4 linked regions of the Alligator mississippiensis genome follow. The protein of the gene in region 1 interacts with the protein of each later gene in a pairwise test. Links are inferred from orthologs where the notes say so. Each region holds a gene or a part of one and is shown in the gene's direction. Other genes may lie near its edges.

Evidence for each region.
Region 2: the proteins of DISC1 (region 1) and EXOC1 interact in a two-hybrid assay, tested with the Homo sapiens proteins (2 studies listed by BioGRID and IntAct). The link is inferred for Alligator mississippiensis from reciprocal best matches to the Homo sapiens genes DISC1 and EXOC1.
Region 3: the proteins of DISC1 (region 1) and GNB1 interact in a two-hybrid assay, tested with the Homo sapiens proteins (2 studies listed by BioGRID and IntAct). The link is inferred for Alligator mississippiensis from reciprocal best matches to the Homo sapiens genes DISC1 and GNB1.
Region 4: the proteins of DISC1 (region 1) and STX18 interact in a two-hybrid assay, tested with the Homo sapiens proteins (2 studies listed by BioGRID and IntAct). The link is inferred for Alligator mississippiensis from reciprocal best matches to the Homo sapiens genes DISC1 and STX18.

Annotation. Positions count from the first base shown.
Region 1 is NC_081824.1:149,967,714-149,974,727, forward strand, and holds the start of DISC1 (disrupted in schizophrenia 1 protein), read left to right. Parts: upstream 1-3,999; 5' UTR 4,000-4,062; intron 4,063-7,014. UniProt on the Homo sapiens protein: Involved in the regulation of multiple aspects of embryonic and adult neurogenesis. Required for neural progenitor proliferation in the ventrical/subventrical zone during embryonic brain development and in the adult dentate gyrus of the hippocampus.
Region 2 is NC_081825.1:60,853,386-60,860,785, forward strand, and holds the start of EXOC1 (exocyst complex component 1), read left to right. Parts: upstream 1-4,380; 5' UTR 4,381-4,472; intron 4,473-4,806; exon of another isoform or gene 4,807-4,829; intron 4,830-7,400.
Region 3 is NC_081836.1:13,022,555-13,030,370, reverse strand, and holds the start of GNB1 (guanine nucleotide-binding protein G(I)/G(S)/G(T) subunit beta-1), read left to right. Parts: upstream 1-4,794; 5' UTR 4,795-4,958; intron 4,959-7,816. UniProt on the Homo sapiens protein: Guanine nucleotide-binding proteins (G proteins) are involved as a modulator or transducer in various transmembrane signaling systems.
Region 4 is NC_081825.1:28,610,294-28,617,133, forward strand, and holds the start of STX18 (syntaxin-18), read left to right. Parts: upstream 1-3,840; 5' UTR 3,841-3,907; coding exon 3,908-4,069; intron 4,070-6,840. UniProt on the Homo sapiens protein: Syntaxin that may be involved in targeting and fusion of Golgi-derived retrograde transport vesicles with the ER.

The DNA of each region.
Region 1 (7,014 bases):
CTCTCATTAATGACTGCCTTCCTTCTGGAATTGACACTGAATACCAAATCGATGGAGGACTCTTCAGCTTGGGACATTTTCACTTGAAGACCAAAGTACTCAAAACAACCATCCTTGAACTTCAATGTACTAGTGACTGTGCACATTGGGGAAAACTTCCACACCATGCTGGATCTCTTTGGAGAAGCCTACCAAACTTTGGGCCTCTCTCTCAACATTGAGAAGACCAAAGTGCTTTATAGTTTGCCCTGGTGCTGAATGTATCTCAGCATGTCTTTATTCATTGCAGTCTCTGGAAAGACACCAAGATCCAGGTCTACAATGGAAAAATCATCCCCGCTCTCCTCTATAGATGTGAAATGGGGATGACCTACCATTACCATCTCAAGAGCCTGGAGAAGTATCACCAATGATGCCTCCAGAAAATCCTCTGCATCAAATAGGAACGTTGACTCAAACACCAGCATCTTTGTTGAAGCCAGTGTTACCAGCATTGAGTCAATGATCCTCAAGCATCAACTTCACTGGACCTGACATTGTGTGCAGATGCCTCACTCTTGCCTCCCAAAACAAATGCTGTACTCCCAGCTTAGTAATGGCCTGAGAAAATGCTACAAAAACACTTTGAAGGCATACCTCAAGAAAACAGATGCTGTCAATAAGATTTGGGAGAAGCTGGCTGCCAACCGACTCCAGTGGCACCACAACCTTACCCAAGCAGCAGCTCATTTTGAGGTAAAATGTCTTGCCCTCAAAGCTGAGAGAGCAGAGGAAGGAAAAGGAGAGGAATCCCAGCCTGCAGCTTAGTCTCCTTCTGTGGATGGATCTGTGGCTCTAGGATTGGACTCCCAAGTCACCACAAGACTCATCAGTGAGCCATGGTAGAGACCATCCTTGGATCAAGGGATTATCACCTATGGGTCCTTGCCTACCTCATGTTGGAAATGCCAAATGTTCAGAAGGGAAGCACTCTCAGCAGAGGCCTGGTAAAAGACTGGGTAAAGGTGCTGGCATACAGTTTGAATTAGGACCTAGGGAAGAGTCCACAGAATTGTGCCCCTCAGGCAAAGAACCTGAGCAAGGTCATCCCCATAGTAGAAGGGTCTGATTTTATACAGAGGCAGAGGGAAGACCCAGACTTTGTTCCACTCTATTGTCAGGTCCCTGGTCCACCCACAGTTTAAAATGAACTGTCTGGCAGTGGCAGCAGCGTTTCTAGTCAGGCAGCTGATGAGGGAGTCAATTGACTTCAGGGCTCGTTATTATCTGCCCGATCCCTTCTTAAAACTTCATTTCATAAGTATTAATGACCCTCTCTTCTTTCTAATGGCCTTGATTTTCTACCCATCAGGATGTCCTTCCTTCTGCCATTCTGTGGTCTGTTAGGGCTCTGCTACACATTCAAATTAAAGCTGGATAGAAACCAGCTATAGAGTTCTTACACATTTTCAAGCACTAACTTTATAGCTGGTTAGCAGTTTTTACAGCTGGAAAGTAATTTTTATCATGTGATAATTTCTGCATATGGGTGGCCAGTCTAAATTTATTGCACGATTCACCCATTAACAAGGTGATAATTACTTTGAACTTGTGGCTGGTCTTACTTTGCAGGTGTGGCCAGTATAAATTTATTTCACAATTCAACTGTGAATTGCATAATATATGTAAGGTATAGCAGGGGCCTCGCTGCTTCTATTTCACAGACCTGCAGATTGTTTTTGAACACATTCCAATTAAGTTATGTTTGTTTCTGCTCCAATCTTAAACAGAATAACACAGCCCTGGACCCCTTGCATTAGTAAAGTTTCTAGTTTAGTTTAAATGGGAATAAAATATGTATTGTGTTATCTGTGATGATGGACCTTATTTGAGTCACTCCCAAGCACTGAATTAGGTGGAGAGACCCTGGCACATGCCTACCCTTGAATGCGCCAGGTTGCAGTCCCTTTTTTGCCTCCTCCAGAACCTCCTGCTGAAGTTCTGGTTGCATGACTCCCTGCCCCTTTTTTGTTATGTGCTCCCTATCTGTGGCACTCCCACATCTGGGACCTCCTGGTCAACCTCCTCCTGACCAAGATGGCAATATACCTGACCAGGAAGGAGGCCCTGGCTGGGAGAACTCTGGGGACTGCAGGGCCATTTTCCTGTCCTTGGTCTTTTCACATCTCGAGGCAGTTTCACTGGGCAGTGTCAGCTGGATTCTTGGATGCATTCAAAGACCAGTGCCCACGTTCTGGTGTTCTGTGCTCAGTCCACCCCCTCAGTGTGCTCGTTCTGAACCTTTGACCCTCACCTCTTCACTTATTTTGCATTTTATTTGTCCCAAGCAATCAGTGATATGCCCTCAGTGGCCCCCCACATCAAGGGGGTGGGTGCTCATAGCCCAGTTTGATGGGCTTTGACTCTCATCCTGTAACAGCACATCAAAAGGCCTGGCCATCTACCAGACCAGTTGGAATTAGTCAGATATGTCACAGAATCCTAGAAAATGAGAGCTGGAAGGGACCTCAGGAGGTCATCTAGTCCAGTGGTTGTCAACCTTTTTTGTACCATAACCCATTTGTAAACATCAGTGGCCATTCCCAACCCAGTGCTCCTCGCGCCCAACCTGCTGCCTTCTGCCACAGTGTGCGTGGTGGGGGCAGAGAGGGGGCAAGCAGCCCCTCACAGGCTGGAGCTCTGCCAGACTGCAAGGGGAAAGCCCTGGCTTCCCACATTTTTTTTCTTTAAAGGAGAATCCATTTTTAAAGTTTGTTTGCAACCCTTTTGTATATTCTTGCAACTCACTTCTGGGTCGTGACCCATGGGTTTAATAACACTGATCTAGTCCAACCCCCTGCTCAAAGCAGAACTGGCCCCAGTGACAGGCAGAAACATTAGGTGCTTAAAGGAACTGTGCTTGACAGGCTTGAAAAGCCGGGTGAAAGCTTTAGTTCCAAGTGACCAGCACCATACCTAGACTCCTGGCACCCACAGGCAAGCTTTTAGTATTGCCCCCCCCTTCACTGGAGATGATAATAATAATAATAATTAGCATTTTGGGGACCCCTTTTCTGCCTGGGCCCCAGGCAGCTACCTGGCTCACCCATGCCTGTGTCCAGCCCTGCAAGTGGCTTGAGGTGCCTGAGAGGTTATGAGGATGATATGTTTGGACTTAAAACACATCAATTCCGCCTCATCCCCACTTGCTGTGCTCAAGCCCCTTTCAGCAGCGTTTCTCAACAGGTGGATTGTCCTTTAAAGTAGAAAAATGTGGGAAACAAGGCCTTTTCCCTTGCAGTCTGGCAGAGCTCCAGGTTGCGAGGGGTTGCTTGGAGCCCCCAATGCCCCACACAGCGGGGGCAGCGGGTTGGGAGTGAGGGGCACTGGGTTGGGACTGGCAGTACCATAACAAGGGGGAGGGGTGAGTGGGGCGATCGCCCTGGGCACTTAAGTGAAGGGGCAACAACAGGCGGTGCCCAGCTTGGGCAGGGAGTGGGACGGAGCAGCAAGCGGCAGGCTTGGGGAGGTGCTGGGACCAGGGAAGGGTAGCTCCAGCCATTGTGTGCACTCCTGGCCAAGCTTGGGTGGGATTTGCATGCAGGGCTGGGGTGAGCTGCCACTATGGGCTTTGCCCTGGTGCCAAACTTTGTTGCTACAGTACTGGGGACTGGCCACTGATGTTTGCAAATGGGTCCTGGTCCAGAAAAGGTTGAGCACCACTGCCCTACAGGATTGAGGCCTGAGATGTCTTTATTTTTTAATCTCCTCAGTAGCTTTCCTGATGAGGGGAGCCCGAGCCCACGCTCTTTGGCAGCTCACAAAGCCTGTCTCCCCCCGCCCGCGGCCGGGCTGGGGGAGGCGCGGGGGTCCTTGCCCTGCCGAGCAGGGGCGGGCGCGGCGCGGGGGTCGCCTGTGCCAGGGCGGGGCGGGGGCTGGCAGCTCTCGGCGGGGGAGTGGCTGTGGCGTGGCGTGGCGTGGCGTGGCGTGGCGTGGCGCGGCGCGGGCTGGGCGGGTGGGGCGGCTCTCGCTGTCCCGGGGCGGGCCGGAGGATGTGGTGCGGGGCCGGCGGCGCGGGGCGAGGTGAGGCCGGGGCGGGGGGATCCCGGCGGTGCATGTGCATGTGCGTGCGTGTGCGGGGCCGGAGCAGCCCGCGCCGCCAGCCCGCCCGGCTCGGGGCAGCGCCGCCGGGTCCCGGCCGCCGAGGAGGCGCCGCCGAAGCGCTTCCCCGGGGCTGCGGCTGCTCGGAGGCGCCGCGACCGGGACGGGGCCCAGGCTGCGCGGGGTGGGGGGAGACTCCTCCGGCCGCGTGGCTGTGCACCCCGGGGCTCGGGGGCAGGGGCAGGCTGGCCCCCGAGCCTGGCCAGGGCACAGCTGTGTAAGGCGGGGCTTCTCGAGCAGGCTGGCACCCAGGGGTGCCTTGAGATCTGGAGTGCTTTGGGGTCCTCCTGGGTGCCTTGGGATTGTGGGGTCCCCTGAGATCTCCTGTGGTGTCTTGGGATCCTCCCAGGTGCTTTGGGGTCCCCTTGGGGTCCCTTGAGATCTCCTGGGTACCTTGGGATTGCAGGGTCCCCTGAGATCTCCTGGGGTGCTTTGGGGTCCTCCTGGGTGCCTTGGGATTGTGGGGTTTCTTGAGATCTCCTGGGTGCTTTGGCATCATGGGATCCCTTGAGATCTCCTGGGGTGTCTTGGGGTCCTCCTGGGTATACTGGGATCATGAGGTCCCTTGAGAAATCCTGGAGTGCTTTTTGGTCCTCCTAGGTGTCCTGGGATCCTGGGGTCCCTTGAGCTCTCCTGGGTGGTTTGGCATCGCAGGGTCCCTTGAGATCTCCTGGGGTGCCTTGGGATTCTCCTGAGTGCCTTTAGACCATCTGAGGGAGCTGTCACTGTTAGCGCTGCTTACCATACACGATGGGCAAGGTTGAATCTAGAGATTGCTGTAGGACTCCCATAGCGGCAGGCTTTCTGCCTGTGTTGCGACAGAACCCCGCTTTATTTCTTTTCTGTAGGCCAAAAAAAAAAAAAAAAAAAAAGTGAAAATGCAAAGCTGGTACATGCCGACAGGTGCCTTGAGTATATCCAAGGATGCCTTGAGTCTAGAAAGGGTGAGAACTGCCTGTGTAAGCTTTTGGTAGGCAGTAGCCTACTTTTTGTCAGGTGCTGTGAACCAAGTAAAGTTTGACAACGTAGGTGGTTGCCTGCCAAACCACATGCATTAGTCTCTCAGGCAGTGGTTCTCAACCTGCTTTAAGCTTGAGGCACCCCTAATTAGACTCAAGGCACCCCATGGAAAATGGCAGCTCTTAGCTGTCACTTATTATTTCTCTGAGCAATTCTTCTGTAGCAAAGAACACAGAAGTACCACAGCTGGGTAGGTGGCTTTTGACAGTGCAGATTCTATTTGAAATCTCCGGGTTTATCTTGTGAATCATGTTTGTACATCCAACAGTACTAACGTTGTGTGACATCCTTGAAAGGATCTCAAGACACCTGATTGAGAATCACTGCTGTAAAGGCCTGAAGCAGCTGCAGGAAGCAGGTGGATTCCTAGGCCTCTGTAGCCTTTGGAATTGCATGTATTCCCAACAATGCTAGTACTGCGTGGCACCTTTGAAAGGATCTCTCAGCATCCCAGGGCACCATGGCACTGTGCTTAAGAATCACTGTGCCAACCTGTCCTGCCTTCTGCCTGACTTCAGACTAAAACAGCTACCTACCTCTCTCTAGAACAGAATAGAAAAGCTTCCAGATATTTCACTGTAAACATTACCACAGAATCTCAACCAAAAGAAAAGATTTGGTACTTATCCGAGGGGATGCTGTTGAGATCTGCCTCTCATTAATGGCAGGTGGCTGAAATTTCCAGACTGTTTCAGGTAGCTGAGCTCTAGTAGTGGAGACAAAAGTCCCACCCGTGGTTGGCTGTGGAATTGCTGTGAGCCTAGTGCAAGTAATAGGTACAGGTTGGTATACTGGTTTGCTCCCTGGAGCCAATTTGTTCCACTCCTCCTGCAGTGTCCAGAGGCATAACTGGCTTGTACTTTGCCCTGGATGGTAGCAGTGCAGGGTGCAGAGGCAGCGGCCAGAGGTTTGCTCTTGTAGTGTGGAGATGACACTTTGTTTTTGCTGCTGATGTGTGTTGAGCGGTGGCCAAAAAACACTGGTTTTTGCTGGCAAAGAAAGGAGCTGGCATCTCTCTCTTTTTATAAGCAGCATGTTGCTCCTATGCACTGGCCAGTCCTACTCCGTGCATCGCTGCTACTGCTTTGCCCACTTGCTGCCAGAGCTGGAGTTGCTGCCTGCGAAGGTGCAGGGTGTGGGGAAAGGGACGTGGAATGGGAAGGTGAAGTGCCCCATCAGCTCTGTTCTGGCACCTCTCCTCCCCTGTCTTAGGCAGCACCTGGGGCTTGTGACTGCTTGCCTACTCATTACATCATTGATAGTGATCATTCTAAAGTTTGGGAGTGCATGAGGTTACTCCTGGTCTTCTAAACATGACAGCAGCGGTGGTTTTTAGTAATATGTATTAGAACTGTTGGTTTGTTTTGCTTTTGTTCACCCAGAAAGCCTGACAGTTTTGAAATATTAAATGTATAATACAGGAACTTTACTCTGAATATGGTCAAATTCCCAGTGCTGCTGGAAAAAAATGCTTTGATTTCCACACTGTGTGACTGTGTTTTAAGTGCATGCTAATGCCAGTACATAATCCACAAAGGAGGGAAGTACAAAGATTTAAAACACATTTTCTACCATTGTTAATACTGGCTTGGATCTTGTCTACATTAAGAAGTTATGGCACACTCCCAAGCAGCATGGATACAGTTACAACTGGTACATGCTATATATCAATATAATTATTCCTGTAGAGGAAGGGGAAGCATTATACTTGTATAACATGTCTACACTAGGGATTTAATTGGCAGAAATTATCTTGCTTAAAAAAAAAATCCCTAACTGAAATAGTTATACTGAGAAAGACTTTAAAGCTAGATTAGCCCTCTGTTCCACCAACACTGAGGATGTTGAAACTAA
Region 2 (7,400 bases), on another chromosome or scaffold:
CCATCTGTCTGATCTGGTAGCACTATCAAATGAGATGTAGGAGACTTTCACTCCACAGTCAGAATGCATTATTCCATTGAGATACAGAAACAGATAAATTATAAATGGAAACAACCTGACAGGTCACATATCTCATCTCTCTGCTAATACAGACTTGCTCTCTACAGTACAATTTCGGGTGCTATAGATGCATGGAATACTTTAAAATTTGTCACCTGGTCTGTCAGTACTTCCCTTGGGAGACTTTTCCAAAATCTAATTATCAGAGAGAAAGAAATTACAAGCATTTGCAAAAGAAGTCTCTCAGAGTACACGGTTAACAAAAAAGTCTTGGCATCATTCTTACAAAAGGCTTTGACAGTAGTGGCAACAGAGGAAAGAGGAGTTTAAGGGACAAAAACATTGCTCCCCAAAATGGTGCCTTACACCTTATCTGGGCTACACTCAGAACACAGGAATTTCCATACACCAACCTAGCTGGTCTGGTGTCCAGGACCAGTTACTTCAGAGAAAGGTTAAGGAGCTGTAGTAAGTAGATATAAACATGACAGAAAGAGCAAAAAAGATTCATGTAGCTGCTTGAGAAATCAAGGTAGAAGGGATTATGTTCCAAAAGAGATTTTTTTTGTCTTGAGGAGTATCTCATTTTTAACATTTAAACTGTTAGAACTGAAAATACAGAGACATGAAAGGACTATTTTAACATCTGTTTATAATACAGTCTTCTTTCTTTCGGTCTAGACTTACATTATTAACAAAAGGTCATATTCCACCTTGCCATAGAAAATATTTAAACATCAACATTCAGTCATACATGGGGACAGTTACACAAATAGATACACAAACTTAGGAATGTTTCACTGAAGTCAGTGTTTCCAGGGTCATTTAACCAGCTAAGAAACTTATCGATATATATTAAAATTGAATACCTTTTTATGTGCGTCTTTTCTGATAACAAAGCTCTCTTTGTATTTAAAATTATTTTATTGTTAAGGTTGTAACTGAGTTTCCATGATATGTTTCATGAAATTGCTGTTATCTCCACTAAAATTCACACACTAAAGAATATTTGCAGAGAACTGGATTGTCTGGGTCTTGGATTCAGCTAGAATTTTTATACCAAACTGAAATTGAAATGGATAATGGAAGAATACAAATAGCTGTTGCTAAATTATTTTAGGGTCTTGTTCCCCTTTACCCATTTAGATCACATTTATGCTGCTTCATCTACCCTCCCAGTATGGTCCAGAGCCCTCCCTGGCCTACTCTTCTTCCTATTATCTGGATGTTCCCCACATACACCCACTTGCAAAGTACAAACTTTTTTTTTCACAATATAGTCTAGTATTGTAAAATGTCATTGTTTCTGTACCTTTGTGGTCCTATAGCTCACCCTCCCTCCCTGACTGCATCATTCCTCCCAACCTGCCATCCTGAAACCAAACTCCCTTGGACATCATGCACAACCTCAGCTTATCTCTCTCATGATCTGCTTGCCTGATATGCTCCAGAAGCCTCTGTACATGTATCTCTGAACATAATTTGTGCAGTTACAACTGTCTCTCTCAGTTGCCTACAGTACTACATTAAAGGTGGTTCTGCTGCTTCTTGAATCAGGAAACCACCCATGGGGCAGCCTGGCACTGGAAACATGGCGGCAGTGGTGGGGTGTCACCTGACCGCTCTTGTAGCCTACCAGTTGCAAATCACTATACTGCATAAGTATGGGACATAATATCTCAAGAAGCAGGGTGAAACTTGTTAAAAAAAGCAAATTTAAGGCCTTCCTCAGTCCATCTGTGGAGAGACAGTAGATGGGGAGGTAAAGACTTATGTGTAACTTAAAAATATTCTCAAAATATTTTTGTAACTCCACATTAGAATTAACAAATTGTTGAAGTTTTTGTTTTGTTTTTGGTGTGCGAATAGAATTAAAAGTGAAAAAAACCTGGAGCTTTGTATTTAGAATTAGGTGCTCAATATCCAGCTAAAGCTGCATGCAAATTCTATCCAATCTTTTATAGCCACTTTATCCAGTCTTTATAGATCCTACTAGAGACAGTTATATTTTGTGGTTTGAGTGAGAAATGATCACATTGTGACTTCTCTTTTAACCCTGGCCCTCATGAATGATACATTATAGAAAATGTATACAGAATATTGTTTTATGAGTTACAAAAGAAAATATATCAGCTAGAAGCATATCACCTGCTAGTGCTTCAATGTGTTTCTATTATTTGACAAGTGTGTGCCAATAATGATGCTGTATGTTTACAACATGGAGGCTCTATTTTAAAAATGACACATACTAACAATTAGATCATTATAAGAACAGATTCAGAAAACTACAGAATCATTTCCCAAGCAAGTCTCCTGGGACAGCTTAGTGGGGGCCCGTTGTGCTCAGTAACAGACATAATGGATTACTTGAATGATACAATTCTAGTCCCATTTTAAGTTGTTCTGTTTCTGGTTGCACCCAGTCCTGACCTTTGGTTGCAAAGGGCCACGTATGAATTGCATGATGTTACCAATGGGATTTTTTTTACCAGAGCCCCAAAGGATTGACATGGCAACTTGTCCGATGTGGTATCAAGTGAACTTTAATAGTAAGCCCTATGCAATATTACAGATTTCCTCCCCATAACACAACCTGGCAAGTGGCTCCTTTAGACACTACAGCAGTAACTTTTGGTGATACCAGCCTTGGGTCCTCTGCTTGGTGTGTGGGATGTTTGTTTCTGGTTTTTCAGCTATTCGAGCAAAAAGTCTACAGTTTTTTGGGTTTTTTTAAGGAATATTTTTCATGTCCAAAGTCAAATCCAAATCCGTGAGTCATTCAAGAACCATATGTGACCCTACTACTGGCAAGCATCCTGTACATCTGCCTGGGGCTTCAGAAGCTTCCAAATCCTTTGACTGGCACCCTACATGTAGGCCTCAGCCTGGAAGCTTAGGGTTTGGATGCCCCCAACTTTTGCTTGCCCTCAGCTTTATGGCCGCAGGAGCAAGCTAGGGAGGAGTCTTCCATTTCCATAAAGTCAGTGTATAGCTGAGATCTTCCCACTGGAAGTGAAAGTGGGAGGCAAACTATGCATTACCTCAGTCAGGGTACTACCCCCTGCCAAGAAAGTGGTTTTGCCCTGCCAGTATGAAAACCATGTTGGTGGTCATGGTATTTCCCTCATGGTCATGGTATAGTTGCCCCTGTCTCCACAGAGATACAACACGAACACACAGCTTTCCCTTTGCTTCTTGATTACTTCTGTAACTTTCTTATCCCAAGTTGTCCAAATCCTTTAGCACTGTGCCAACCATTCCTTATATGGTACACCAATCCTATCCTACTTTTGGTTATCTTTCCTTACAGGGAAAGTGCTATACATTCCTCACTTACAGCATTCCCACTACAGCACTCCTTCCAAAGACTGTCAGGCACTCTGTTCAATTTTATTGCGTTGCTCAGGGAAAGCCTGGACTGTGGCTAAGCCTTAGCATAACTGAGGTTGCCTGCTACACATGAATACACCCCAGGTGACATGCCTTTGTTTCTTTTCGTGGCAAATGTGAATTTACGCCCCATGTCTACCTGAAGCTACGGTGCCGTATCAAGTGTAAAGTGCTCTGAGGCCTCTGTAGGGGCGGCAACGGAAGCGCAGGGTACCATTACTCTGAGTTTGAGGGCAACTCTCCCACAATGGGCACAAGATGGACCAAACCCAAGTTTCACCTCGGCTCTACAAGGGCGTTAAGGAACCTTCTTCAGGAAAGAGCTGTCCAAAAGCAGGTGACGAGATCCCCGGTTCACTAAAGAGGGGGCAGGAGGAAGACCGCGGCTCAGCCTGGCCAAGATGAAGCCAGCGGGAAGAGATGCAGCTGCAGACTGACGCTCGGTGTTGGTGGCAGGGCTGCCCAAAGCCGCGCCACTGGGCCGCGGGCCTCCCGCTGACCTCCCGGCAGAGCGCGAGGGCCAGGACGCGGCACTGCACGCGACCACACCGGATACGGCCCCGCTTGGGCCCGACGGTACGTAACACCCGACCTACTCACCTAGCTCTGATGGACTTCTGACGTCATAATGACGGTAGGGGGGAGGACATCACACACCCCACCCACCAGGATCCAGCCAACCGGAGAGATGGGGGTGGGAAACGCTGCGAGGCCCCGCCTCACTGCCAAGTTAGCCCCGCCCCCGCCCCCGCCCGCCCCCGCCCGCCTGCGTGACTTCCTATTGGCTCGTTCCAGTACCCGCCCTCCCCTGTGGTGGAGCTGAGCGGGCGGTGTGAGGTAAGCCGGCTACTGGCCCGCCGCTCCGCAAGGGGTCGCTCTCGCTTAGTAGCCTCCCCCAGTGCGGGCAGCGGCGGCTCCGGGGCGCCGCAGTCACGTGACGGGAAGCGGGTGGGCAGGGCAGGGCAGGGCAGGGCCGGGCGGCCGCGCAGGCGAAGAGGAGGCGTTGCGTGCCGGGTCCGGCGGTGAGAGCCAGGCGGCCGCGTCAAGGCTTGCCTGGGGTGCGGGGCGGCCCCGGACCCTGACCCGGGAGGGAGCGGGCCGTTGCCGGGGCTCTTCCGCTTGTTGCTTCGGGCGTGGCAGCGGGACGCAGAAGGCGGGGCTGGCGCTGGAGGACGATCTGAGCCTGAGGGGCAGGCTGGGGAGCGGATCCCCCCGATCCTCGCGCCCTGGGGTCTGAAGGCTTCCTGGAGCCGCCTGCCCGTGACCTGGGCTGAGGACCTGCCCGGCAGATGCAGCGCGGGGCTGCGGGGTTCTTCAGAGGTGGTTGCCTCCCGGTTTCTGCCACTCATTACATGTACTGCGTGGTTCACCAGCGAATGGTACAATAAAGCAGGCAGCTGCAAGTGCAAAGTGGTCACCACATGCTCAAAACGACTTTAGCTATAAAAAGGCAACCAGCTACCAAGTGCATGTTTGGGAACTGTAACAACTCTCTAGATCGTTTCTAGCCAGCTTTCATTTGAGCGCGCAGCAGGGCCCTCTGTCTAGGCACAGTGCACTGACCTGGGCTAGCAAATAGCTTAACCTGACAATGTTCCTCTGCTGAGGGATTTTTGAGGCATTGTCACTTTCCAGGTAAACTAGATTTGCCACTGCGCAATGTCCCTGATAGGTTCCATATAGTCAGAGAAGAAGCAGCTCCTCTTCTGCCTCTGCTTGTGATATTATTTTCTTCTAGACCAGTGATTCTCAACCCTTTTTTGGTATGGGACCCATTTGTAAACTTCGATGGCTAGTACCCCTCGCCTAACCTGCTACCCCCCACCCCGCAGTGTGTGAGGTGTAGGGGGCATGGGGCAGGGGTGGGCCCAAGCTGCCAACCTGCAAGGGAAAAGCCATTGTTCCCCATGTTTTTCTCTTTTAAAGGAGAATCCATTTCTAAAGTTTGTACTTTTCATATGGTCTTGCAACCAGTGGGGTTGAGAAATGTTCTGGAATGTGTTTAGGCCATGGTAGGGGTTAGCTTGTTAGCCAGAATTGGCCTTGGCTCCTTCGAAAGCCTATTCTTCAGACAATACTTTTCTCTCCAGTCTGCCCTACTTCATTCTGACTGGGCTGTCTTGGGTTGCAGCTGATGTTGGTGGTGTCCTGTTGCTGATTGCTTTGAAGAGTCTAACAAAGGGTTGGTGTTAGAAGCTGGATGGTGAATCCACAGAAAGATTGGTGCTGGGTGGGATTGATGTGCTCCTTGCTGATCTCAGCTGACTGAAAGGAGGCTGCTCTGTTTTGCCCAAGCAAGAAAGAAAGGCTATATTGCTTTTGTTTTTAGTCCCAGATAACAGCAGTTTGCCCCAGCTAGTTTGAAGGTGATAGGCATGTGGACCACTGAGGTCAAGTCTCTTCCTTCTGGACAAAGAGGTTTTTATTTCATTGCTACTGACCTTCTCAAATCTGGTGAGGTGTTCAATTAAACTCCAAGGTTTGAACTAGCTTGGATCAACGACAGAATGGATACATTTCAGGAGAAGGGTGAACTAGTTTTCCTTGTTTCAGTCAGTTTTGCCTAAGTTGGTTTTGAGACATCTCTTGTACGTTCAGGTGCTTGCTAACTTTACATTTACAATGAATTGTGGTTAGCTTTATTTTGCTAACACTAATAATGCAAAAGCAAGGCCTACAAAAATTGCTAACCACTAATCCGTAAGTTTTAAAAGATTGTTTGGTGTCTCACTCAACCCAGACAGTTAAAATACAGCACTTCTTACAGTGGCAGCACTTGTGGTGGTTAGTTTAATTTTTAACATTGTTTATAGTTGCTTTATTTTGGAATCAACTGGGTTAACTTTACAGTACAGAGCCCCAGCCTGGGGGTAGCTGCCTGAGTCTGTCCAGCAGGGTTGATGGGGAAGGTGTGAGCCTTCTTGGCTGCCCAGGGCTGGGTGGTCTCTGGTCCAGGCTCCCTACTTTCCTTCCTCTGCCCAGGGCAGGGCCACAGGACCATTCCAGGCCTGGAGAAATCATGCTGCTCCTCCCTGGCAGCTGGGCCCCAGGTCTTGGGAGCTGGACTCCAGTGCAGAGAAGGGCCTCTTCCCCTCTTGGTGCTGTTGCTGCCAGAGGCAGGGCAAGCCCCTGTGCCCCGTGGCGGAGGCTGAATGGGCCCAGCCCTGGGAAGGACAGGACCCGACTGGGCTGAGGGGCCAGGGGAAGACCCTGTTGCACAGAGCAGGGGGGAGTGGCTGCCCCTGCCCCTGGTCCTACCAGGCTCTGTCTGTAAGGTGTGGAACCTCAGGCACTTCAGGGTCTGCCCACCTCTTCCCACCTCAGTCACATCTCTGTAGAACTTGCCGTCTTTTACTGAGCCTGCCCCAGCCCTAGCCTGAAGTCTGCTCCATGCCAGTGCTTGGGACACAGCATGAGCTGCTCTGGAGTCCAGTCTGGCCTGCTGGTGAGGGGATGGGAGTAGGGATGGAGAATGGCTTGGGCCCTTGCATCTGGATCAGGCCCTCTGCACTCAAGGTCACCCCGGTTCACAGGAGGGAGCCCAGGTGTCCAGGGCCCCAGTGAGAAGGCATTATTATTGGTAAACATTATCGGCTATAACAGCCAAAGAAAGCTGATAGCTGATAATATAATTTTCCTTTTATCAGTGCTAGTTTGATAGCTAACTGATATATCAGTCCACCTCTAATTTTTTTTTAAATAGCTGTGCTAATTACTTGCATAGGATAAATTATTTTGTGCTGTGGCCCAAGGCCTTGTCCTAGGACTATAGTGTAAACAGTACTTCAGGGTTGATAGCATCACATGGCAGAGAGTTGGTTGGGATGTCAGATGCACACTGCTCTTTACACTGGATTTAAGGCCTTGTTTTAAAGGCACACAGTAGCCTGGGCTTTCCCTGTTTAAAATTGTGTAAAGCTGTGGAACTTTGGTTGACTGATGTCTTCAGG
Region 3 (7,816 bases), on another chromosome or scaffold:
AATATTTGTTTTACCAGTAGCATCACTTAAAGTAATAGTTACTGCAGACTTTCTAAGAGTGGAGAGACTCCTCTTGACTTCTGTCAGCTTTAGATCAGGCCCTTGATGTCACTAGATAGTACTGGTACTGCAAGTCAGTTAAGCTTTGGTTGTGTCAAAATGTAACCTTTAAGCTTTTTAAAGGTATTTGCTATCCCATACTTACTGTAGTTTAAAATAATTGTATTTAGATGTTATATGACTCTAAAAATGGGTACAAGTTAAACATGGGTGAATTAGAGTATTTTCTGTGTAATCTGAGCAGCAGAAAGAGTAGAAGTTTGTCAGAAAGATTAGTAAGAGAATTTGAATGTATAGTTAATCACAAAGCAGAATGACAAGCACAATAGTAGTGATAGAAATGAATGTTGTTTTTGTAATATTTCTGTTGTGGCAGTGGCAGAGCATTGGCAGGACCCTTGTCTCTCCAGCTTTTGCTTGTGCCATGTTATTAAAAGGTCTTGGCATCTTGTAGATGGTTCTAATTATTTGTGAGGGCTTAAAGTGGCAATTTTGGGGATTCCTTAGGTTAACAGTAGCCTACTAATGGAGGGGATTAGACTCGATGCCCTAGGAGGCACCTTTTAGCCCTCTGTTCCTAGTATGACAATGCTCAAAAGCAGTTGGGCTTGAGACCCATTGTGATATGGTCTGTAACGATACAGGTAAAAGTTAACCTCTGCCTTCACTGGCTTTCAGAATCCAGGGAACATCCAGATTTGGGAGCAATGGGAGGATTCTGAAACTGGAACGTAGCAGTTGAGCTGCAGCAACATGAAGCTCAGTGCAGGCTGCAATATGCACCCAAGAAGAAAGGTAAAACAGCTCATGCTTTTGCAGCTAGATTGCTACCGGTACTTGAGCCAGCTAGTTTAAAGCTAACTCAGGTATGTGTACACTACATTGCTAATACTGCTGTGATTTACACCTTTATGGGCTAGTAGTATAACCATTTTACAGATGGGATGATTGCTCCACAGATTGGTAAAAGGCATGAAACCAAGCAGCAGTTCCTCCTGCTGCACCTCTACCAAATGTACACAAAAGGGAGGTGGTGATGTTTAAGCCAGGTTTTCTGGGAAGGGTGGAAGAGATGCAAGATATGCAGTGGATCTAAAGTGAATGTTGATACTGCACAGATATTATTAATCCTCAGCCACCTCCATTTGTATGTGCCAACAGCAATCACATGCACGCAAGAGTGAGAGTGGAGCCCGAGGGCTGAAAACTAGAACACAGCTTTCAGTGTGTTGTGTTTGTGTGGAATCACAGACTGGCTTGATTTAAAGGGATGCTCTCTAAACCAGGAGTACCTGAAGTTGCCTGTTGAACAATTGTTCCCTACTTGGTAACATTTCATAGTGATACCACAGTATGTTGAATATTCCTCATTTTAACAACTAGCTTCTTTGTATTCTACACAAAAGGCTTGTATATTTCCTATGCAATTGAAACGAGAGTTTTTTACTGCTTTCCTAGTGATATGTAGTGTGTTGTACACACAGGTCCTGGGTGAGAGTTCAACCTGCAAAACTCCAGCTCCCTAAAATAACAGCATCCTGGAATGAGAGAAAAGACAAACTCAGGCTAGGATAACTCAAGGTCTTGTAATCATGTTTTAAAGACTGTTGAAATGAACATAGAGCAGCAGACCAGCCCCAAGATCCAGCTGGTTCAGTTTCCCTTGTCCATCAGCGGATTATACCAAATGACTCAAGGAAAGGGGCAAGACATTACATACTCGGGAATGATGAAAACAACTGCTTGCAGCAAAATCTGCTCTTTAGCTCTAGGTAGCTAGGGAATAGATACACTTGGGAATATTAGAAAAAACTTTTCACTAGTGATCTGGGATTCCCACCACTGTTTCTGCTGAAGTGGACCTAACATTTCTGAGAGTGCAAGTTTAGAGAACGTTATGTTGGTTTCTGTCAGGGCATTAAACTTACCAGCTGTCTGCACTATATCTCATTTACATCAGTTGTTGCAGACACTACAGGTTGGACTGATAGACAGAATTAAATATTTAATTTTGTCATCAGACAGCTTAAACTTTGTTTCAGATCTTGATATGTTCATGTTGCCTTGGAGCTACAACAATCCTCTTCTGCTAATTAGGATACACAAGCATTTATGCTGTTGCCAAACGGAGGTCAGGCAAACACCTTTGCTTCCAAGACGGCACTCCATGTGGACACCAAAGTGAAACAATGGTTTTCAGACAAAATATAATTTACTAGTAGCATCCACATTCTTTCAGGAGGCTTCTAAAATGCAAAAGAATTGTCTAATCAGACAATAAAATTAGCACTTGTTTTTTATTGGAGGATGGGTCATAAGTAAACCAGGAACTACTCTAAAAGTTGTATTTTAAATATCTGCTTTGGAAGCAAAAAATAACTGTGACTGGGCATGTACAAGCATAGAGTTCCTCTTCAATCCTCTTAGCCAATCTCCATAAATTGAAAGAGGTTACAGAGCACAGGCACAAGTCTTCAGTCTTCATATAATACAGGGAAGGATACACGTTATAGAAACTCCTGGCTGAAAACAAGATGAACTCCAAAAGTCATTTCTTGTAAAAGGTACAAGAGCAGAATTCCTGTCCATTTTCCTTTACCAACAGTATGTAAGAACAAATTAGACATAAACACCAAGGGAAGGTCATGGGTACAAGTGGGATCTGGTCTCACATGTAGTTGAAATGATGAGAAAGAAGTGGGCGCTGGTTTATTAACGTCTGGTTGCAAAAAACATTTGATGAGATATAGCTTTATGTCCATTCATGTATGGAAGGAGATGAAACCCAGCCCCCAGGGAAAAACACTCTCAGAAGACTTAGGGAAATAAAAGCATCTTTCAAAAGCTTGGAACCTTATTTAAGGCCAATGCAGATATCTTTTTTTGCATTTTAAATCTGCCAAGGTACTTCTGTCAGTCAGAATGAAAATGGTAAAACCTGTTTTAACAATCAAGCTGATGACATTCTCTAAGAACTTTTCAGGCCTAATGGACTTTGCTTAATGGTACTAGTTTTTTTTCACTAGGTCACATATTTTAATGTATTTTGAATCCTGGGTAGTTTCTTTTTTTTCAACACAAATCTTAATACCTATCTATACTACAGAGCCCCAACCAAAGATGAAGCTGGGTCACTACAGGTTGTAGTGTCCAACCTGTAGTGTCTGCAACATGGTACTGGGTCACTACCCCAAATGACACAGGCTAAGATGACAAAGCACCCCCCTACCCAATTTTGTCGTCACAGCCGTCTCCACACCAGGGGTTTTACACTTCTAGCAGACAGGCTTTATTAACCTATTAACCTAAAAATTACAACTTAGTCTCAAGTAGTATATAACACACGCTACAACCACATTCAAAAGTATTTCGAAGCCTACCTATCTGAAATCCCACCGCTCAGAATAAGAGGCTGTTTCGACTGGAACATTGTAATAGCTATGTTTATAATTACACTCTTTTGTCTCCACAATACTTTAACAACATCCAGTAAAATGGACACGTCGCTTCTAAAGGCAAACTCTCATCTCTAGCATAGAGAGAAACAAGACATACACGAGCCAAAGGCCCCAGTCTTATGAACATTTACACGTGCCCAGGTTGAGACACAAATAGTTGTACTGCCTTCAATAGGATGAGTCCTGCCCATAAAGCTTAGCACATACACAAGTGTTTTGTTTGTAGACAAGTTTCCTTGGGTGAATTTGATATCCTTGCGTGAGACGACACAGAACAGATGGCAAGCGCAGGGATGGCAACGCACAGGTCCTGGTGCTCAGTGCTCGAGCCACTTGAGGAAGCTGCCTGGGGGAGGGGAGGTTGTTTGCCAATGCAAGGGCTGAGCGCTGAACTTTAAACACAGGATGTAGGACCGTTCAAACAACATCACAACTGTTGTAAAACAAACAGTAACAAAACATGGATACCCAAGTTCCTCCACAACAACCCACCGTCCCTACGGTGACTAGCTCACACCCTTTCTCGGTCTCATTTTAACCAACTCCACCCAATTTTGAGGTCACGCTCTTCTCTGTAAACCTAATTTTCCAGCCTGCCCCTTCTCAGGACGCTCATCATCTCTTTAAATTGTTTTTTCTGTGGAAGAAAAAGTGGGACGCTTACAAGAAGCCTCTCTTATTGAATAGTTTCAGTATTTTTCCTCATTGCTGTCGGTTCTGGCTTGGTTTTCCTTTCTAGCTCAGCCGGGCTGCGTTGCTCATCGTTAGGATTTTTAAAACCACTTCTTTCTATGGATTTTAAAGCTTTTTTTTTTTTTTTGGAAGGTGTTTCATCTCTTTGTAAACGGACTTCCTGGTCAGGCGGAGGCAGGATCCTCCCTTGCACACGCCGCCACTTAAGAAAGCACAAATACGGGTAAAGTGTGTGCGTGTGTGTTGCGGGGACACCGGCACCAGCACCTCTCTATTGCTTTTACAGGGAGGGCAGAGCGGGGCGGCCGCGGCCTGGCGTCACCTTCCCGCCGGCGGCGCGGTGCTGCCCTCAGCTCCGGCTCTCCGCGTGCTGCGGGGCAGGGCGAGGGGGTCCCGGCCCCCGGGCCGTCCCCTCAAGGACACCTCTGTCCCCGCGTCCGCACCCAACGCCCGCACCCGGGCCCGGCGCTGCGGAACAAAGGCGCGGCCCCTTCCCTTCCCTTCCCCTTCCCCTTCCCCTTCCGGCGGGGCGGGGCGGGGCGGGGCGGGCCGAGCGGGGTTTCCCGGCCGGGCCGTCACGGGCGGGGGGCGGAGGCGGGACCGCGCCCAGGCTCCGGCTCCCGATGGCTGCGGGGAGCTGAGCGGGACTGACTTGGAGCCGACGCCCGGGGACCCCTCGCGCCAGGCGGGCCCTTCTTCTCCTCCTCCCCCCTCAGCCGGAGCGGGCACCGCGGCCCCGGGGAGCAGGTACTGCCCGCCCTTCCTCCTCCTCCTCCTCCCCCCCTCACAGCCGGGGCTCCCATCCCCCCCGCCGCAGCACCCGGCCCGGCCCGGCCCGGCCCGGCCCGCGGCGGGAAGCGAGGCAGGCAGGGAGGGGCCCTGCCGTGTCTGGTGTCGGGGCGCCGGGGGCTTGGCGCGGCCGAGGTGAGTGCCGGGCCGGGCCGCGCCGGGCCGGGCGGGGCAGGAAACCCCGGCAACATCTGGGGCTCGCGGGGGCTCCACCGCCTGCAAGGGTGGGGGGGGTGCACATCTGGAGCTGGCCTTGTGCTGCATGTTTGTGCGAGCCTGAACCCGGAGCGTGCCCCATCATGGAGGATGTGCGCGCCCCGGCAGAACAAGGGAGCCGCTCGCTATTGAAATCCTGTGAAAAATAGATGTGGTTTTTCAAGCCTCGCTTGCTCCCGTACTGTTTTCAGCACCCCCCCCCCCTCCCCCTTTGCTCCTCATTCAAGGGGCTGCTTAGATTAGAAATCTGCTTTTTATTATCATTGCAAAACTGCCTCTCAAAACCTGAAAATGGGCGTAAGGCGCGCACAGGCAGAGGAGAGGAGAGGCAAGAATCAGTTGAAAAGGGGGGTGGGGGGGGAGGAAGAGAAATCTTGTCCAGCAGAATATAAGGATGATGTAGAGGTTATTCTACGGTGTCGATTTATCGTGTGTGAGGATCGGCTGAAATTTTAACGCGTGCAATTTTTCACGGTTCTCCAACCAAGTCCAGCTCTGGACTGGTTTTAAATAAAGCATCCTCGGGCGAATGCCGGCAGCCACGTTGGGAGGCATTGCCTGCTGCTGGGGGATACCGGCTCCAATTAAAAAAAGAAAAAAGCAGGGGGATGGGGGGGAGGGAAAAAAAAGCGAAGCTATATCATTAAAATGGTTTCTGAAGCAGCAGGCTGACCTCCAAAGGGAGGTGTTCGGAGACTGGCATTAAAATGAGATACCGTTAGGTGCAGAAATTACCAAACTGTAAGGGGGGGGGGGTGGGTATCCCACATTTTGAGGCTTGTCCTCTGAACACGGGGATGTGACAAGACAAAACGCGGTCGGTTTCTACGTGGGAAATGCAACTGAAAAAATAAGCTCCTACCCAGAGAGGTAAACTCTTTATAAGCGCTGTACATCAATCTCTTCCGATTCGGCGTGTTTTAGGGGGAGAGAAGGGGTGATAATAGTGCAGTTGTTTTGGTGGCTGCAGATTACCGAGGGTGTGTGTTTGATTTTCTTTTTGCTGTGAATGAATGGATCCTTCTGTGCCTGGGCCCAGTAACTGCAACAAGATGGCGTTTGCAGCAAGGCAGCTCTCTCATTTTCAACTCCTCCTCACCACAGCTTTGCCAAACTAGACACTATCCCTTAGTTGCATTTTAGATTTCTCTCTTTTTTTGTTTTTGTTTTTGTTTCCTTTCTCCTTTTTTGTAGTAGGAGGAAGGCTTGGGAGGTGGGGGGGGTGCAATAAAACAAATATATAGGTATTGCTTATTTTTAATTTTTTTTATAGCATTTCCCCCCAGTACAGGAGACTAGGTGGGAGGAGTAAATAGTTTTATTGAAATTTTCACATAGGCTGTGACTGGTTAAAGCAGTAACATGATGCCCAATGTCTGTTCATAATGGCATTTGGAAAAAAAAATTCTAGCTTATTTCAGCAACAAATTTTAACGAACACATATTTTTATATAATCCAGAATTGAGGTCTGTATGGAGAAAACCTGTATAAAAGGCTCTGTAGAACTGCATGTTTCCTACCATCCTAGTAATAATTAGACCCCCATGTAGACAGTCATATCTTTTTTTTTTTTTTTTTTTTTCTTATCATAGAAAGGAAGCGCCCTTCTGCTTCAGAGCCCTCCAATGATTTGTGGAACCTTTTAAAACTGCATTTGACCTGAAATTGTCAGTTTGCATAATTATTCTTTTATATTAGATGCGGGGGAGAAGAAATGAAAAGGCTATTTGCATATTAAAACCTTTTTCTGTGTTCCTTGCCCTATTTTAAAAATTACATCATACATTTATAAAATCTTTTAAAAAGTGGTTTTGTAGCACCTTAAAGTGTACATTTCTTAATCAAAGCCTATTAGGTTTCCTGGTTTATTAATTATAGAAAGCTAACGTTCCCTCCCTCCCCCCCCCCCCCAGTTTAGACACTTGATTAAAATAAACAATTCAGCTGATACTTGACAAAAACAGATTTACTTATCCTCAAGCATGTTCAAATGACTCTTAACAGTTCTAAAATATATGTCAAACTACACAAAATATTTGGCTGCTTTTTTGATGCTTTCTGAATTAAAATTTTCTCTCTCCTCTTAATAATGGTATGTGAATTCTGGTATTGCTGTGTGGATTTATTTTTGTATAATCCATCACTTGCCAGATGCTTTTATAGCTTAATTTTCCTAAGGCTATAGGAACCTTTTTATGATTGAAGTTTTTTTTCCCACTCTTTAATTTTTACAGGAAGTATATAAATCCCAAAATGCTTGTATTAAAGAAATTAACATTTCTCTAATTAGCTCAATAACTCATAGAGAACTTTTAAAAAATCTGTCAGCATAAAATTTCAGTTTAATTTTTTTGTTGTGTTCCACTGAATTTGAAACTAACAGTAGTATTAGTACTTGGTACTAATACTAGTACTTCAGATATGTTTTTAAGCTAAAAAAGAAATAAATGGGGGGAAAAAACATTTTAGTCTCCTGCATTGAGTGACTAAGGCAATATAAATTTATCTCTGCTTAGTAGTCCTTCCAGTTGCTAGGTTAGTTTGTAGCAAGCATCCTATCATGAAAACTTAGTTGGTACCTGAGGTTAGAAACCCAATA
Region 4 (6,840 bases), on another chromosome or scaffold:
GTGTGGCCCAACGTAAGCAGTTCTGCTCATTTTAATGGGGCTATTTGTGTAGGAAGGCACAATTTAGTGAAAAAGTGGCAGAAATTATGGCCCATTAGAAGCATCTTAACTTGGCAACAGCAGATTTGTGTGTCAAAAATGTCTACAAAGAGTTCCGTCCTGGGGGTGACAGTATGATCAATGAGACATTTCTGGAATTCCATTAAGTATGCTTATTTTATTCTTAGCAAAGCAAAGGAAGGTGGAAACAGGCAATTTTAAAGGACCATACCTGAAAATGTCTAATATACCATGTGTGAATTCCAGGCTTTATTAAATACATATTTTGCTAAAGTAGCCCCATACTATATTGCTCTTAAAGGCATTTGGCTGCTAGTTCACACACATACCGGTAGCATTCATGGAATGATAAATCTAGTTTCCCTTGGCACCCACCTGATTAATACCTTAAATATTTTCTCACTATAAATCCAGCACCGAGGACAGTGACTTTAACTGCATATTCTTTTTTTTACTGAAAATACTTATTAGTGTCACACTAAACCCTCCGTCTAGAATGACAAATAGAGTAATAAGTAAAACAACATGAATGAAAAGTAAAATAGCTAAAATTACTAATAGCATAATTATGGAGGAGGCACTAATGATGCTTTAGTTAGGGTTATGTTCAACTTTTAAACTAAAGCAGGATCGTAATTAGTAACAGAAAAAACCCTGACTCTTTTTATGCAGCTATGAAGAGCCTGGATTAAGTTCAGTTTTACTATGGAGAGAGGCAGTATTTTGACACCTGTGTTGAAGTTTTACACTTAGGGGACTCCCTGTGGGACTGTGTCAGAAGTGGTCTGGGGAATTAGAGCTGAATTTAAAGAACACATTGAGATTCCAGGCAATACACCACTTCCACACTCCCTTCTCTCTTCAGTGTAAAAACATTGCTTGGAGGCTGGAACTACAAAACCCACATACACAGCTAGTAGAGTTGATATTAAGGCTGAAAACCAAGGTGAAGGTGAAGGGAATCTCTAACCAAGCTGTTATTGCAAGTCATCCAATGAGTGGGTGGGAAGGGAGGAGGGTCAAATGGCACAGCTTTTGCTCGGGGCTCCTATGAGTCTGTGTGGCAGCTAGGTAAGAATCCATATGGCTCTTGGTCTAGAAGATCCTCATATACAAAGCATAGCTACTTGTTCATGTGGTGGTAGGAATGAATTTGCTCCAGCAATATTAATAATAACAAAGGTTATTTAAAGCAGTCTTCTGACTTCCCACTAAATTGCTATAAACACTATATTGCAATTCATGGGGCATTTTACTTTTGCACCATCCTGATACCAACGTGACTCTTCTGTTGAATGCTAACAGATCTCCAGATCAGATTTCCAGGCCAATCCAGTCCAGTGGAAATATTTTAAACATAACTTATTTCTCAGCTATATTCATAGTCCTGAAGAACATGCATACAATTCCTTCTTCCAAGGCCAGTCCAACACCATGCCTGGTTCCCAAATAATAATTCTACCATAATGGACTAATCCAGAGGTATTCAACCCTGGCTTGTGGGCCAGGTCCAGAGGTACTCAGCCCTGGCCTGGAGCTGTGTCATCTGGCCTGCACGGCTCCCCATGGATCTGGAAATTTGGTGATGCGGAAATGGTGCCTACTCCCCTGCTGTCAAATTTCTGAACCCATGGGAAGCTCCACAGTCCTACACACTAGATCATGCATGAAGGATGATGTGTGTCCTGATCCTGGCATGCAGGAGTGATGCGGGGTCCAATCTCAGTGCGTAAGGTTGGGCAGTTGGCATGAAGTGCCAAGGTGTGCAAGGCTCAATTCCAGCATGCAAATTAGAGGTGCACTGATACATTGGTGCAATAACAGATCGGCACCGATATAAAGAAAATTGAGTGTATCAGAAATTGGCCTGATGTGGCTGATAAATTGGCTGATAAATGCCCATGCATGCGTGCAGCTACAGCGCAGCACATAGGCAGCCAGGAGCACAGCTCGGCAACTTGGAGAGCTGCATGCAGCTGGTAAGTCTGTTGCAGTAGAAGGGGTGGGGGAGGGAAAGGGTGTGGGGGCAGGGGGAACACAGATCAAGGCCCCAGTGGTGAGAGAGGGAGAGAAGCTGGGCCTGGGGCTGGAGCAGGCACTGCCCAGCCAGCGCAGGACAGGGTGCAGGGCAGAGCTGGGGTTTGTCCATGTTGACACTGGATTTGACCCAGCACCTATACCTTTGTTTTGGGCGGGCACAACCCTCAGAACGACCACACCACCTGCCAGTTGATAATAGGCTAATTTATTGATACAGAGTAAGAACAAAAAAGCATCAATACCAACAATCAAACAATTCTGTATCTACCAGTCCTAGGGCTGTCATCAAAGTACATCTGGTCAGGATGGAGGCTCCACTCTGAGGCTCTTTCTTGGGTGTCAGCAGTCTGGAAGTGGGATGCTGAGGCCCACAGCGCCCCTCCAGTGGGCACAAGCTGGGCTACTGGTATGCCCTCAGTCCATGGTGGCCTTCGGGACCCTTCCCGGGGGCCAGGGATGGGGACCCCTTTCAGGGAGCAAAATGGGGAGGGACGGGAAAAAGGGAGGGACCCTTTGTTAATCGCAAGTCTCTGCTTTTGTATTCTCCTTCCCCCTTGATGACTCCTCATGACACTTCATTTGTTGAACACCACTGAACTAACCAACACTAATCCACGTATATCCCCAACACTGAATCTTATACCTCTTCACAAGATAAGGAAAAGAACTGGGAAGACCATATCCAACAGCGCCACCTGGTGATGTCTGCCATAAACAAATAGGACAGCTGACAAGTGACGGGTAGATATCCATCCCTAGTCAGCTCACCCTGTCAATTTAAAAGTTTTGCTAGCATAACTGCATGGGCAAGGGACATGATTTCCATTTGTAACATAGCTATTTGATTAAAAAAAACAAACCCAAAAACAAAAACAAAAACCCAAAGAAAAGAGACTGTAGTACAGAGGCAGTTATAGAGGCAGAAAGCGCTTTTGCTGATAAAGCTTAATTCACCTTCAATGAGTAAAAAAACTTTGAACAAAAATGTTTGTGCAAATAGACGCACCTGCATCTGCACTAGGAGGGTGTTTGCCCAGTACCGGTAAGCTGGCAAAGCTTTTGAGTGCAAGCAAGGCCCAAATTCAGGATGTGGCTCTGCTGGCCGAACCTGGTAGCATTGTCATGCTGGACAGGAGCATGAAAAGATCACCCTCTGTGGCTGGTGCAGCTTGGCTGTAAATGGCCTGGGCATGGTCTCTGCAGGGAACTTGTCGTTCAAGGCAGCTGGCACAGCTCTGCCAGCCAGGTCAGCGCCCTACCAGCAAGGATGGCCGAGGATGATCTGGCAGCAGCCAGGCCCCAGCCTTTCCCCTTTATACGCTATCTAAACCAAAAGCCCAGCGCGGGTGCACGGGGCGCTTGGTGCTGGAGACGTGCGAGCGCCGCCGGCCGAGGAGCCGGAGCGCCGGGCACTCGAGTCAGCCCGGGGTCGAGCCTCCGGGTCCCAGACACTGCCGGTGCCGGCTCTCCGATACCCCTCGCTCCCGGGACCTGCGGCCTCGCCCGCCGCTCCGCCGCCTGAGGGCTGCTGGTGCCGGGGGGGCAGCGGCTGGACCGGGCCTGAGCGGGGCACGCGACATGAGACGAGGCCTGGTTAGCCAGGGCGGCGCCCCGGGGGTCCCGTGCGGGGTGGGTGCCGCTGCGGGGCCTGCGCCGGCTGGGCGGGATCCCGGGGGCGGTGCCTGCCCCTCCCCGCCGGGGCCGCGCGAGGCGGCGGAACGGGCGCGCGGGGCGGCGTTGCGCGGGGACGAGTGTGCGGCGCGCACCGGCTGCCAGCGCGGCGGCGGCGGCGGCGGGCGGGGCCGCCATGGCCGTGGACATCACGCTGCTGTTCAAGGCCAGCGTGAAGACGGTGAAGACCCGCAACAAGGCGCTGGGGCTGCCGGCGGGGGACGGCGCCCGCGACGAGCTGCTGCGCCGGGGGGGGCCGCGGCCCCGCAGCGACTTCTCCGCCCGCGCCCGCGACGTGGTGAGTGCGGGCCGGGAAAGGGCCTCGCGGGCCCCCGGGCGCGGCGGGAATGGGGACGCGGCCCCTTTAAGCCCGGCCCCGCCCCTGGCGCGGAGGCCACCGGGCTCGGCGGGGCGGTGACGTCACCGGGGCGACCTGGCACTGCTGCCCCGCCCCCCGCCGGCCCGGCCGCCTCCCTACCGGGTGGGCGCGAAACCTCTCCGCGCACCGTCTGGCTGCACACACAGCCCTGCCACACCGGCACACGCAGACATGCACAAAACCCCTCCACGCACCCTGCCTGCCACGCACACACACACCCAGAACCCTGCCACACCTGCACGCGCACACACACCCTGCAACACATGCGCACACAGACATGCACAAAACCTCACTGCGCACCCTGCCCGCCAGACACACACCCCCCGCTGCGCGCACACTGCCACTCGTACACCCCGCCACACACAAAATCCCACTTTGCACTCACCCAACACCCGTGCACACTCACCCACAAAACCCTGCTGTATATGCGCGTGCGTGCACACACACCTTGCCACACACACACAAAACCCTGCACACATGCACACACACAAACGAGCACAAACCCTGCCACATGCGTGCGCACACAGACGGGCACAAGACCCTGCCACATGCATGTGCACACCCCCCCCCACATCGTGCCACACATGCACAGACACAGACAAGCACAAATCCCTGCCACACGCACACGACTACCATGAGCACACACCCTGCCACACATGGACACGTGCACACATACAGACATGCACAAAACCTTGGTGCACGTACACACACAGACACACACAAAACCTTGCCACACATGCACACATACGCACAAAACCCTGCTGCACACACACACACAGACACGCACAAAACCCTGCCACATGTATATACACAGATGCACAAAACCCTGCCACACACACACACGCCCACCACCACACACTCACCCTACCACACTCACTTTCCCATCCACCCACCCACCCTTGCAAAGCTAATCATCACAACTGATTGGATCGCTGTTGTCTATGCAGGCCTGGTGTGCCCCCCCAACACGTGCACTGCAATCGCATGCTTCTTCCCATGTGACTCTACCTTGCTCATGGCACCAAAGGGAATGTGCCTCGTGTCTAGCGAGTGGTTCCTGCTGTATTTATTGCACATGATTCAAATCCTGTGTTAAAGACAGAATGATTAATTCCCTCATTGGCTTAGTTTTTTGCTGCTTGTTCCTGCAGTATCTGAATGCAAGGACAAAGCATTAACACTTGAAGGTATTATCCTCATTTAAAGGTGAGGAACTGGGGTATAAAAAGATGAAGGGCCTAAGAATATACTAATTTTGAGTGTTAAGTATTAGATATCTGCTTTTTCAAGTCAGGCCGCCATAACATGAAGTTTACAAAATCGGGGGACATCTGTAAAAGGTTGGTTTAAATTAGGGCTGTCAGTTAATCATGATTAGTGCATTAATCGTTGGTGTTAATTTTTTTAACGTGTTAATCGTGCACGTGGTTTTGGAGCCTGCGCCTCGGCTATGCTCTGCTCCCATCACTGCTGCCTCCAAGCCGCCCCATGGGCAGTGGTGGCAGAGCAGAGGACCACAGGGCAGCTGCAGCAGGGGAGAGAAGCACACACAGAAATGCAGCCGCAGCCTGCACTCAGCCAGGAAAGTAGCTTGGTGGCGTGTGGAGTAGCACCCACATGTAGAGTGGAGTAGCACCCAGCAGGCAAGTCTGTGAAGGGGGAGGAGGGGGACAGATTGGGGCTCCCATGGTGAGGGAGAGAGTGGGGCAGGGGCGGGGGTGAATGGGTCCCTGAGGCCAGGTCATGGGGCAGAGCCATGGCTCATCCATGGGAACTGGGGGTGGCGGGGACTCCTCCTGCTGCAATCACCCTGGGGGTGGCACAGGGGCCATGTGCCCCCCGGATTTATGTGTGGGGTGGAGGCGGGTTGCCGCTGCAGACGAGCTCTGCACCCCACTGCCTTTGCCCCAGAAGCTGCGCACTGGCAATGTTGTGTCCCCTACCTGGCTGGCAGCAGGAGGCACAGCATGGTGTATCATGGCTCCCAGGATAACGGCAGCAGAGCATGGAGCGCAGCGCATAGCAGCAGCCCACCTCCACCCCAGCCACAAATCCAGGGGGCACGTGCTTCCCATGCTTCCCCCAGGGGTGCGCACAGTGGCGGGAGCAGCGCCCCCCCACGCCTCTGGACAAGCTGTGGCTATGTCCCATAACCCACCCCAGCCCTGGGGCCCCATTCACCCCAGCCCCTGCACATGCCTCTGCCCCACTCACTTCCTCACCATGGGAGCCTCGATCTGCCACCCCCATGCCCGTTCCCTCCCCCATGCCCCTTGCCCTCCACAGATTTACCTGCAGTGTGGTGTCTCTGTGTCTGTCTTCCCCTCACCCCCAAACCACAGCCCCCTCAGCCTGGCTGCTGCCCCTCACTCCTGACCCACAGCACCTCACATCCTGCCCGGGTGTGTGATTCATAGATTCATAGATTCATAGATGTTAGGATCGGAAGGGACCTCCATAGATCATCGAGTCTGACCCCCTGCATAAGCAGGAAAGAGTGCTGGGTCTAGATGACCCTAGCTAGATGCTCATCTAACCTCCTCTTGAAGACCCCCAGGGTAGGGGAGAGCACCACCTCCCTTGGCAGCCCGTTCCAGACCTTGGCCACTCGAACTGTGAAGAAGTTCTTCCTAATGTCCAGTCTAAATCTGCTCTCTGCTAGCTTGTGGCCATTATTTCTTGTAACCCCC